3 linked regions of the Oryctolagus cuniculus genome follow. The protein of the gene in region 2 purifies or fractionates together with the protein of the main gene of each other region. This does not show direct contact. Links are inferred from orthologs where the notes say so. Each region holds a gene or a part of one and is shown on either strand. Other genes may lie near its edges.

Region 1 (2,241 bases), on a different chromosome or scaffold from region 2:
TGCTTTCTCACCCTCACTTCTTTACTTTCTGTAGCTTACGAAATGAATATAGATTATATTAAAGAAATAAATATTAAACATATTCTCTCAAGCTATATGTGTGTGTTCCCCTGCCCACATTTTGACAGGCTTCCTGTCTCTTTTCTCCTTTCTCTTCTCCAGAAGTCATGCCTTCCCTGTTGAAAGTCACTGTTTTAGGACACCAATATGTTAAAAATATATGTTGTCATTTATTAGGAAAACAGGAAAAGCAATTGTGTTTTTCAAAATCTGGTGAACAAAACTAAGACTAACTTTTGCATTTATTACAACTCAGGATGTTTCTTATTTTTCTTTACATGATCAAATATGTACAGACTGTACGTTTTTAGGAGTTATTTATTTATTTACTTGAGGGGCAGAGACATAGAGACAGATAGAGGTACCTCCCACGCATTGGTTCACTTTTCAAATGCCCGCAGTGGCCAGGGTTGGACCTGAGCCATTGCCTGGAGCTGGGAACACAAACCAGGTCTCCCATGTAGATGGCAGGAACCTAATTACTTGAGCCAACACTGCTGCCTCCCAGGAGCTGTATTAGCAATATGGGACATAGACGTCCTATCCAGTAGGTTAAACTCCCACCCCAGTGCTGCTTGTCACGGGGCAGCAGGTCCGATAGAGCTCCTCAGGGCCAGCCTGGGGAGCTCAGAGGCCAAGCGGGATGATGAGGAAGGAACCACACCAGAGCTGGGAGATCAGTCAAGGCCCAGGGGAGGGGAAGAGCTTTTATAGACACAGAAAAGGGGCTGTCCAGGCCACAAGGGAACCAGCTGAAAGGTAAGGCAGGGCACGCCCTCAAGGGCCTATCACAGCCAAGGACACACACTGTTCACGACTACAGAAGTCTCCTGTCAGGCTAGGTACCTCCCCCGGGGTCCATCTTGGGTTGTTGGAAACGCTGAGTCACTGGGATGCGGAAGTGTGGCAAACTCAGCGGCCTTTTAACAACTTTTTTTCCTTTTCAACTGGAGCTCCCCCTACACCTCAGGCTGTATATCTTTTTTATCTATGTTTTACTTACGTATCTGTACCTCTTCACCTGAATTCCACTACTAGAATCCACTAGAATTTTATGATAAAAATTAAACTAAAAGTATGTGGTATGCCAAAACTTTGGAAAAATGAAGTTTCAGTAGAGCTTAAACCCAGATGAATTGTAAGTGTCACAATAGGTTGCTGCAGGGGCTGATGCTGTGACCTGCACAGCTGCTTGCAATGCCAGTATCCCATATGACAGTGCTGGTTCGAGTTCTGGTTGTCCCACTTCCATTAGGAGTGAATTACAGGGTACTAATATGTGTGCTATCTGTGTATATCAAGAAAAACTATATTGACAGTGAGTGGTGTTGGCATTGGCACCCATAGCAGTTCACTTTGGTTTTATCACTTACTAGAGTGTAAGCCAGTATGATGTTTGTTAAACCATGTCTTTATAAATTATATCCTAATTTCAGGCACTATGGTTTCCTTGTTTGTTTTACAGAAACCAGAAAAACTGCTTTTGGAATTATCTCCACCGTGAAGAAACCTCGGCCATCAGAAGGAGATGATGATTCTCTCCCAGCTTGCAAGAAAGCGAAGTGTGAGGGCTGAAAACACACTCCAGCCTCCACAGCCTCCCTTGTGTCATTCATCAGCCACAACAAAAATAAAACCTGGATTGTCGTTTGCAATTCTCATTTGAAGCTAGAAATCAAGTCTCTAAAAAATTTTACATTCAGTCATTTAACAATAAGCAGAACCTAGTGCAGCCTTTTTAAAGGCTGCCGGCTTAATGAATTTAGAAACATTTTAAGAGGAAGACAGACTGCTTTATTCGTCCTTTGTGTATGTGGTAAATAACAGCAGTAGACTTGCATAAGATGTTTCAGTATTTCAGGACACTTTCAAAATGTCTCCTGTTCATTTAAAAACTCATGCCTTCCTACTTGTTATATACAGTGGCTTATTTTTTAATCTTACCACTCAAGAAGTAATTTTGAGGACTATTAAACCTTACATTAAGAGGGTTACTTAATTGATCTATTCATGTTTTAAGCTTTTCTGTCAGTGTATTTATCAAGTTAGAGTTCTTTCTAAAAGGAATTGCCATAGAATTTATGGAAGGAGAGAAGATACACATGTAAAATTAGACTTGGCCTCTTCCTTCACTGCTTACTTCGTGATATCTTTGAAATAAGATTACTTTTGGTTGGAACC
Region 2 (4,203 bases):
GGGCCTGCACCTTCTCCTTAGGCAGGTGGGCTGGGTCGGAGTGGGCTGTGTTTGGCCCAGGCTGTGGCGGTTTGGGATCTGGGTAGATGAGCAGAATTGGTTTTCTGAGACTGTGGCTCTTGACACCCACCAGAACCCATCCATGTCTCTTCTTCAACTCTCCAAGCCCCACCCCCACCCCTAAATGGGTGTCCCCATTTTTCTTTACCGCCTCTCACCTGCCTGACTCCCCAGCTGGGCCTCAGGCCGGTCTCCCCAGAGCAGATGCCTGGGATCATTGAGGAACCGTTGGCTGCGCTGACATGTTAGACAGGTCTGGACTGTCCAGCGCTGTCCCTTGCAGCCTGGAATGAAAGTGAGAGAAAGGAAGAGTGCTAAATTTAGCAGAAGAAAAGGTCTCTTGCAACCAGTTTTGCCTCCATTATTATTATTATTTTAAATTTATTTGAGGGGCGGCACCATGGCTCACTTGGTTAATCCTCTGCCTATGGCACTAGCATCCCATATGGGCGCTGGGTTCTAGTCCCGGTTGCTCCTCGTCCAGTCCAGCTCTCTGCTGTGGCCTGGGAGGGCAGTGGAGGATAGCCCAGGTGCTTAGATCCTTGAACCTACATGGGAGACCAGGAAGAAGCACCTGGCTTTGGATTGGCGCAACGCTGGCCGTAGCGGCCATTTGGGGAGTGAACCAATGGAAGGAAGACCTTTCTCTCTGTTTCTCTCTCTAACTGTCTATAACTCTGTCAAATTAAAAAATAAATAAAAAAATTTATCCGAAAGGCAGAGTTACAGAGAGAGGAGAGACAGAGGTCTTCTACCTGCTGCTTCACTCCCTGGACACTGGCCCCAAGGGCCAGACGTAAGCCATGAGCCCAGAGCTTCTTTCAAGTCTCCCACGTGGGTGCCCATGTACAGGGCCCACGTGCTTGTACTTCTGCTGCTTTCCCAGGGACATTAGCAAGGACCTAGATTGGAAGTGGAGCAGCTGGGTCTCGAACCAGTGCCCATACAGGATGCTGGCATAGCAGGTGGAGGCTTAACCTTGTATGCCACAAGACCAGCCTTGCCTTTACTATTTTTAGGAGGAATTCCACCCCTACCTCCACTTTATATGCAAATATGATGGTGTGAGGCCCCAGCACAGCTTTATCCATTTCTTAGAAATCTTTAAAGTCCAAATTAAAAAAAAAAAAAAGAATTAAAAATTGTATTTGAGGGGCTGGTGCTATGGCATAGCAGGTAAAGCTGCCACTTGCAGTGCTGGCATCCCATATGGGCACCAGTTGGAGCCCCAGCTGTGCCATTTCCGATCCAGCTCTCTGCTATGCCCTGGGAAAGCAGTAGAAGATGGCCCAAGGCCTTAGGCCCCTACACCTGTGTGGGAGACCCGGAAGAAGCTCCTGGCTTTGGATCAGCGCAGTTCCAGCCATTTGGAGAGTGAACCAGCAGATGGAAGACCTCACTCTCTCTTTCTCTCTCTGCCTCAGCCTCTCTGTAACTATGCCTCTCAAATAAATAAATAAATCTTAAATTTTTTTTTTTATTTGAAAAGCAGTTAGAGAGAGAGAAAGGGAGAGAGATATATTTTCTATCTATTTTCTATCTGCTGGTTCACTCCCCAACAGTCCTCGGAGTCTCCCACGTGGGTGCAGGGGCCCAAGCACCTGGGCCATCCTCCACTGCTTTCTCAGGCACATCAGCAGGGAGCCGGAGAGGAAGTGGAGCACCGGGGACTCCCCTGGGTCCATATGGATGCTGGCGTATGCTAGCGGCACAGGCCGGGGCTTTACCTGCTATGCCACAGTGTGGACCACCACACTGTAAACTTCTAACAAGAGTCTTGCCCTGGCCTGTTTCCCTCTTCAGCCCTGTCTTGTCCTGCTACCTCAAGCTCCAGCTTCCTGTACTTCTACAGCACCACCAACTCCCTCATCATGGAATCCTCCCCCGTGCCTAGAGCGCCCATCTCGCTCCCTTTGTTGAGCCTCTCCATCACTGGCATTTTCTACACTGCCCTAACTGCTAGGATCTTTAATCCATCAGGCTGTAATTTCAGAGACAACTTCCTGGGTTGTGGCAGTGGAACGGTGTCCTACGCGACACCCAATGCCACCCGTTATTATGCACAGGTGGGGCTGCCTCTTACGGCAACATCATGTGTCTGCCGCACAGGTGGGGCCTAAAAACGAACTCCAAACCCTAGTTTGTTCTAGTGCAGTCGGCAACTTAACTCAGAGCTGGAGACTGCTCCTCAGCCCGACCCCCGCCTAGAGGCGCCCCCACCCCACCCCCACCCCCGCCCCCAAGCCCACAATCCTGCAGGACCACTCACGTCTCTGGCGCTGGGTGCAGGTGAGGCCCGGGATGAGCGGGGAAGAGCAGCCACGGCAGAGGGTCCTCTTCACCGAGGGGTCCCTGGGGGCAGAGGCAAAGGTGGTCCGGCCGCCCGCTCCACGGCCCGCGTCCCCCCGCCGCCAGCTGCGCGCCCGTCTCACCGACGCAGGACGAGCCGCTTGGCGATGGTCCGCTCAGTGTGGCAGTAGAATCTGGCCAGCGCCTGGTTCTCGGGGTCCTGCGCAAGGACGCAGTGGGCGGCCTGGGCGGCCGGGGCGGGGTCACCTCGGCGCCGAACGCACGAGGTCCGCGTCCCTCCGCACGCCCTGGCCGGGACTCACCTGGTAGAGGAAGTTGAGCCTCAGGAAGGCCTCGCGGTCCTTGACCGGGCCCGCCATGGGCGCAGTGCCGGCCCTCGTAGGACCGCCTCCAGCCCCGCCCACGGCGCCGCGCGAGGCCTGCTGGGAAGTGTAGTCCCACGGGGCCCGCGCCCCGGCTGGCCGCCCCAGCACCCTGAGTGGGCAAGCCCAAGCCCTGCCTTCCAACCCTTGAGTCCGTTCTGGAGTTTGGGAGTCCTTCCAGACTTCCGCAAGCCCACGGTTCGGCTATCGGAGTGGGAGAGGATCTTAAAAAGTGCTACACATTTTCACGAGAGAGGACCGGTGTCTAAGACAGACAGCCGGGTATACCCAGCTAGACCTGCGCACCAGTCTCCTAAGCCGAAGGCAGACACCTAGATCTGGTGGGACAGAGGCTACATGTCCACACAGCCATAGGGGCCCACGAGCTTTGTGAAGAGGGTGAGGATCGCGAAAACACAACTTACTCTCTTTTCCACCCACCCGGGAAACACACTGTGCTTGTTACACGGTGCTGTTAACACACCAGGTGAGCCCCACTTGTGCCAACAGTTTCCAACCCCTGGCGTATAGCGCGGAAACCTGTCAGCAGCAGCCCCACCCCAGCCCACACCCTGACCTTTCTCTCCCTCCAGTTTCTTCTGTCTGCCATCCCGTTCACCTGATTCTTCACCTGATTCTCGGTGGCCGCCAGCTGCACAACGCAAACATGAGGTGGGCAGGATGTGCATGAGCGGCTAGCACAGGTCAGGAGAGGGTGAGCCGCCTCTCTCCTTTAGGGGCCCCTGCCACCAGGCGACAGAGGACCAGGCCTCCTGCTCAGGGGAAGGAAAGTGGCTGACACTTGGGATGTCTTGCAGGGGTCCTCAGACTCAGGTGAGTTTAATGCCGATGCCTAGGCCCGCACAGGCCCTGACCGAACAAAGAGAGGGGGAGGCCCAGGAGCATGCGTTTTGAACACCCATCAACACAAAGCCATTGCCAAATTACCACACAACACAGAGGTCACTTCAGTGGATCCTTTGTTCCATATAATTTTTACCAACCAGAGTTATCCTGCCACAAAGAACCACAGTCAAGGCACAAAGGTAAGAGGAGGAGAGTGGACACAGTCCTGCTGAGGTGGTAGAACTGAAATGCCCTCGATAAACTGCAGTTTCTTGTCCTGGTCTTCTGTGGAGATTGACCCAAGCAGCAGATAATCCAAGACGTTGTGTTTTGGTTTGGCATGCATTGCTTTCCTTGTTTTTTTTGTTTCTTTATTTGGATCACTTATGTACCCTACTGGTTGTTTGTTTTGGCCTAACATTAAGATGATTTACATTCTCTGAAAAGGGGAATGGCAAAGGGTGAACGATGGCAACAGACAAGCCAAAGCCTGCCTTGTGTGAACAGCAATACCAGGCCAGACGCACACAGGCCCAAGGAAGTTGCTATCTGGCCTTTTCTTACACACACCGCCCGCTTCTCACCTGTCCTCAGGGTGAGAAAGACTCCATTTAACTTTCTTCCT
Region 3 (3,535 bases), about 25 Mb from region 2:
GTCTCCGTTCACGTTTTCCTGGAAAAGTACACTTTCCGACCAGACCCACACGAGTTCCACTGTTTGCCCTCACAAGGAAACTTCAGCTGATACATTCTTTATGGATGACTAACACTGGTGAGCTCTACAGAGAACGGAACACAGCTGTACAGTCTCTACGTAGGAAACAGAAGCAGAACTAATGATGATAAAGTCTCATTTGAGCTTGCCCTGGAAAACCCAGTAAAATCTAGGGTGTCTTTCAGGAGTGTCTGCAGAGCCAACGACCTCGGAAGAGAGAAAGACGGACCCCTGGTGGAGCACGGGGCAGGCCTGCTCACTGTCCAGAGCTCATCCGGCTGCCTGCACAGTGCAGAGGGAATTCCAGGGGCTGCCACTGTGGTGCAGCAGGTTAAGCCGCTGCCTGTGAGGCTGCCATCCCATCAGGGTGCTGGTTCAAGTCCTGGCTGCTCTGCTTCTGATCCAGATCCATGTTAATGCCCCAGGGAAAGGAGAGGAAGATGGACCAGGTGCTTGGGCCCCTGCACCCACGTGGGAGACCGGATGGAGTTCCAGGATCCTGGCCATTGCAGCCATTTGGGGAGTGCACCAGTGGATGGAAGATCTCTCTATGTCTCACCTTCTCTGTCATTCTCCCTTTTAAATAAAATACTTTAAAAAAAAAATGTGAATTCTTGAAGTTCTGGGTTCTCCCATGATAGAACCTATGGCAAATGCCAGCACTACCTGCCCAACTCCGGGTCACGCCATGGGAACTGGGACTTGGTAACCGGTGCTAATGCTGACACCTGGTGTCAACTGGCCTGCTCCGAGGGTACCGCAGCTGTGGTAAAGCCGACCTCCGGTCTATCTGCGAGGACATTTCTGGAGGAGGCTGGCATATGAGTTGCCAAGCCAAGTGGAGAAGATCTGCCCTCAACATGGGTGGGCACCATCTTGTCCACCAAAGGCCCAGAGAGCACAGGACAGAAGGAAGGCAAATCTGTCCTCTCTCTCAAGCGGGGACATCCTTTTCTCCTGCTGCTAAACAGCAAAACTCCAAGACCCAAGCCTCTGGAACCCCAGCAGCTGCAACGCTGGCTCCCCAGTTCCGAAACTCTGACGGGGACTGAGCCATACCACTAGCATCCTTAGGTCCCCAGCTTACAGACAACTACAGAGGACTTCTCAACCTCCATACTCACATCAGCCGTAGTAAATGCACCCATACATTTACTATCCAACCACCCACCCGTGCACCCATCCACCTATTCATCCGTCCACCCACCCATCATCTATCCACTCTTCTATCCGCCCATGCATCCACCTTTTGGTTCTGTCTCTGGAGAATCCTGACGAATAGACGCTGCCCACTGCTACTGCTTTGAGGAATTAAGTCCACTGTCTCTGACCCAACAATATCATATCTTACTCCAGCAACCCCAAGACTCCGGGAGGCCACCTGGTAAGCCTGCAAGTGAAGTGAAATCCCAGACCTTTCAGAGTCCCTAACAAATCCTTGAAGGACTCAAGAGTCTTAGGAACAGGAGCTATTCACAGCCAAGTGTGGTGGCTTCACAGGATTCAAGCAATTGACACTTCAGGAACTCTCTCTGCTCCTTTCCTACCACACGCGCAAGTATGCGCGAGGTCCTACAGAAACAGGGCTCCTGAAGGCGGCGAGGGCAGGCAGCGACCAGAGACTCGCCTTCAGGGGCAGAGCCCTGCGCTTCCCCAGCACCTCACCATCGCGATGCCCACCGATCTGATTAGCGTAAGCTTGGGAAGCACAGAAGATTCACTTCTGAAAGGGGCAATCCACTCGACAGTCAAAGCAGATTAACATGTTCAAAAACATGGCAATCTGAACTAAATGTAGTGGTTTTTTTTTTTTTCTTTGACAGGCAGAGTGGACAGTGAGAGAGAGAGACAGAGAGAAAGGTCTTCCTTTTGCCGTTGGTTCACCCTCCAATGGCCGCTGCGGCCGGCGTGCTGTGGCCGGCGCACCGTGCTGATCCGATGGCAGGAGCCAGGTGCTTCTCCTGGTCTCCCATGGGGTGCAGGGCCCAAGCACTTGGGCCATCCTCCACTGCACTCCCTGGCCACAGCAGAGGGCTGGCCTGGAAGAGGGGCAACCGGGACAGAATCCGGCGCCCCGACCGGGACTAGAACCTGGTGTGCTGGCGCCGCTAGGCGGAGGATTAGCCTAGTGAGACGCGGCGCCGGCCAAATGTAGTGTTATAATCAATTAAAAGTTACAAGTATTTAATGACATGTGTGAGTTATTTCCTCACAATGCGTAAGTAGGCCACAGATGCATCCATAATTGATATTAATTTAAAATATAATAGCCAATGGGGGCCGGCGCCATGGCTCACTAGGTTAATCGTCTGCCTGCGGCACCAGCACCCCATGTGGGCACCGGGTTCTAGTCCCAGTTGCTCCTCTTCCAGTCCAGCTCTCTGCTGTGGCCCGGGAAGACAGTGGAGGATGGCCCGAGTGCTTGGGCCCTGCACCCCATGGGAGACCAGGAGGAAGCACTTGGCTCCTGGCTTCGGATCGGCGCAACGTGCTGGCCGTGGTGGCCATTTGGGGAGTGAACCAACAGAAGGAAGACCTTTCTCTCTCTCTCTCTCACTGTCTAACTCTGCTGTCAAATATATATATTATATATATATAACAACCAAGACTATTACACACATGTATGACAGAACCTTGACCACAGGGATGGTTACACACATGTATATGACAGAACCTTGACCACAGGGATGGTTACACACATGTATGACAGAACCCTGACCACAGGGATGGTTACACACATGTATATGACAGAACCCTGACCGCAGGGATGGTTACACACATGTATATGACAGAACCCTGACCACAGGGATGGTTACACACATGTATGACAGAACCCTGACCACAGGGATGGTTACACACATGTATGACAGAACCCTGACCACAGGGATGGTTACACACATGTATATGACAGAACCCTGACCACAGGGATGGTTACACACATGTATGACAGAACCCTGACCGCAGGGATGGTTACACACATGTATATGACAGAACCCTGACCACAGGGATGGTTACACACATGTATGACAGAACCCTGACCACAGGGATGGTTACACACATGTATGACAGAACCCTGACCACAGGGATAGTTACACACATGTATATGACAGAACCCTGACCACAGGGATGAACCACCATTCACTCCCATTATTCCTCTGTACCTAACAATTAGACTTCAAACTCACCGCACTGTCGTGTTATTTATTCTTCATACCTGTATTGTGCCAAGCGAAAAGAAAATTGAACTTCAGGGGCTTCTTTTCTTTGAAGGACCAAGATGTTCTCTTATACTTCTTAGAATTCAGGTTAAAGGATAACTCCATCAAATCAACGGAAACGACTTTAAAAATGCAAGAAGGAATACACATTTTATGCATACATATACATCACATACAGCCTGCACTGCAGACAAGTGTTGTATTCTGTAAATCAGAAATTTTAAAAATATCACAGATAGTGAAAATTATTTTGTTCT

The links. The genes of interacting proteins can lie anywhere in the genome.
Region 1: the proteins of RPP21 (region 2) and RPP30 purify together in Homo sapiens (co-immunoprecipitation; 3 studies listed by BioGRID and IntAct, counting the BioPlex papers as one, with this or other methods). This does not show direct contact. The link is inferred for Oryctolagus cuniculus from reciprocal best matches to the Homo sapiens genes RPP21 and RPP30.
Region 3: the proteins of RPP21 (region 2) and RPP40 purify together in Homo sapiens (co-immunoprecipitation; 3 studies listed by BioGRID and IntAct, counting the BioPlex papers as one, with this or other methods). This does not show direct contact. The link is inferred for Oryctolagus cuniculus from reciprocal best matches to the Homo sapiens genes RPP21 and RPP40.

What each region holds. Positions count from the first base shown.
Region 1 is NC_091446.1:39,509,024-39,511,264, reverse strand, and holds the end of RPP30 (ribonuclease P protein subunit p30), read left to right. Parts: intron 1-1,525; coding exon 1,526-1,635; 3' UTR 1,636-1,721; downstream 1,722-2,241. UniProt on the Homo sapiens protein: Component of ribonuclease P, a ribonucleoprotein complex that generates mature tRNA molecules by cleaving their 5'-ends. Also a component of the MRP ribonuclease complex, which cleaves pre-rRNA sequences.
Region 2 is NC_091436.1:139,948,122-139,952,324, forward strand, and holds the start of RPP21 (ribonuclease P protein subunit p21), read right to left. Parts: upstream 2,807-4,203; 5' UTR 2,730-2,806; coding exon 2,673-2,729; intron 2,594-2,672; coding exon 2,493-2,593; intron 2,413-2,492; coding exon 2,330-2,412; intron 345-2,329; coding exon 219-344; intron 79-218; coding exon 1-78. UniProt on the Homo sapiens protein: Component of ribonuclease P, a ribonucleoprotein complex that generates mature tRNA molecules by cleaving their 5'-ends.
Region 3 is NC_091436.1:165,377,035-165,380,569, reverse strand, and holds part of RPP40 (ribonuclease P protein subunit p40), read right to left. Parts: intron 3,401-3,535; coding exon 3,275-3,400; intron 1-3,274. UniProt on the Homo sapiens protein: Component of ribonuclease P, a ribonucleoprotein complex that generates mature tRNA molecules by cleaving their 5'-ends. Also a component of the MRP ribonuclease complex, which cleaves pre-rRNA sequences.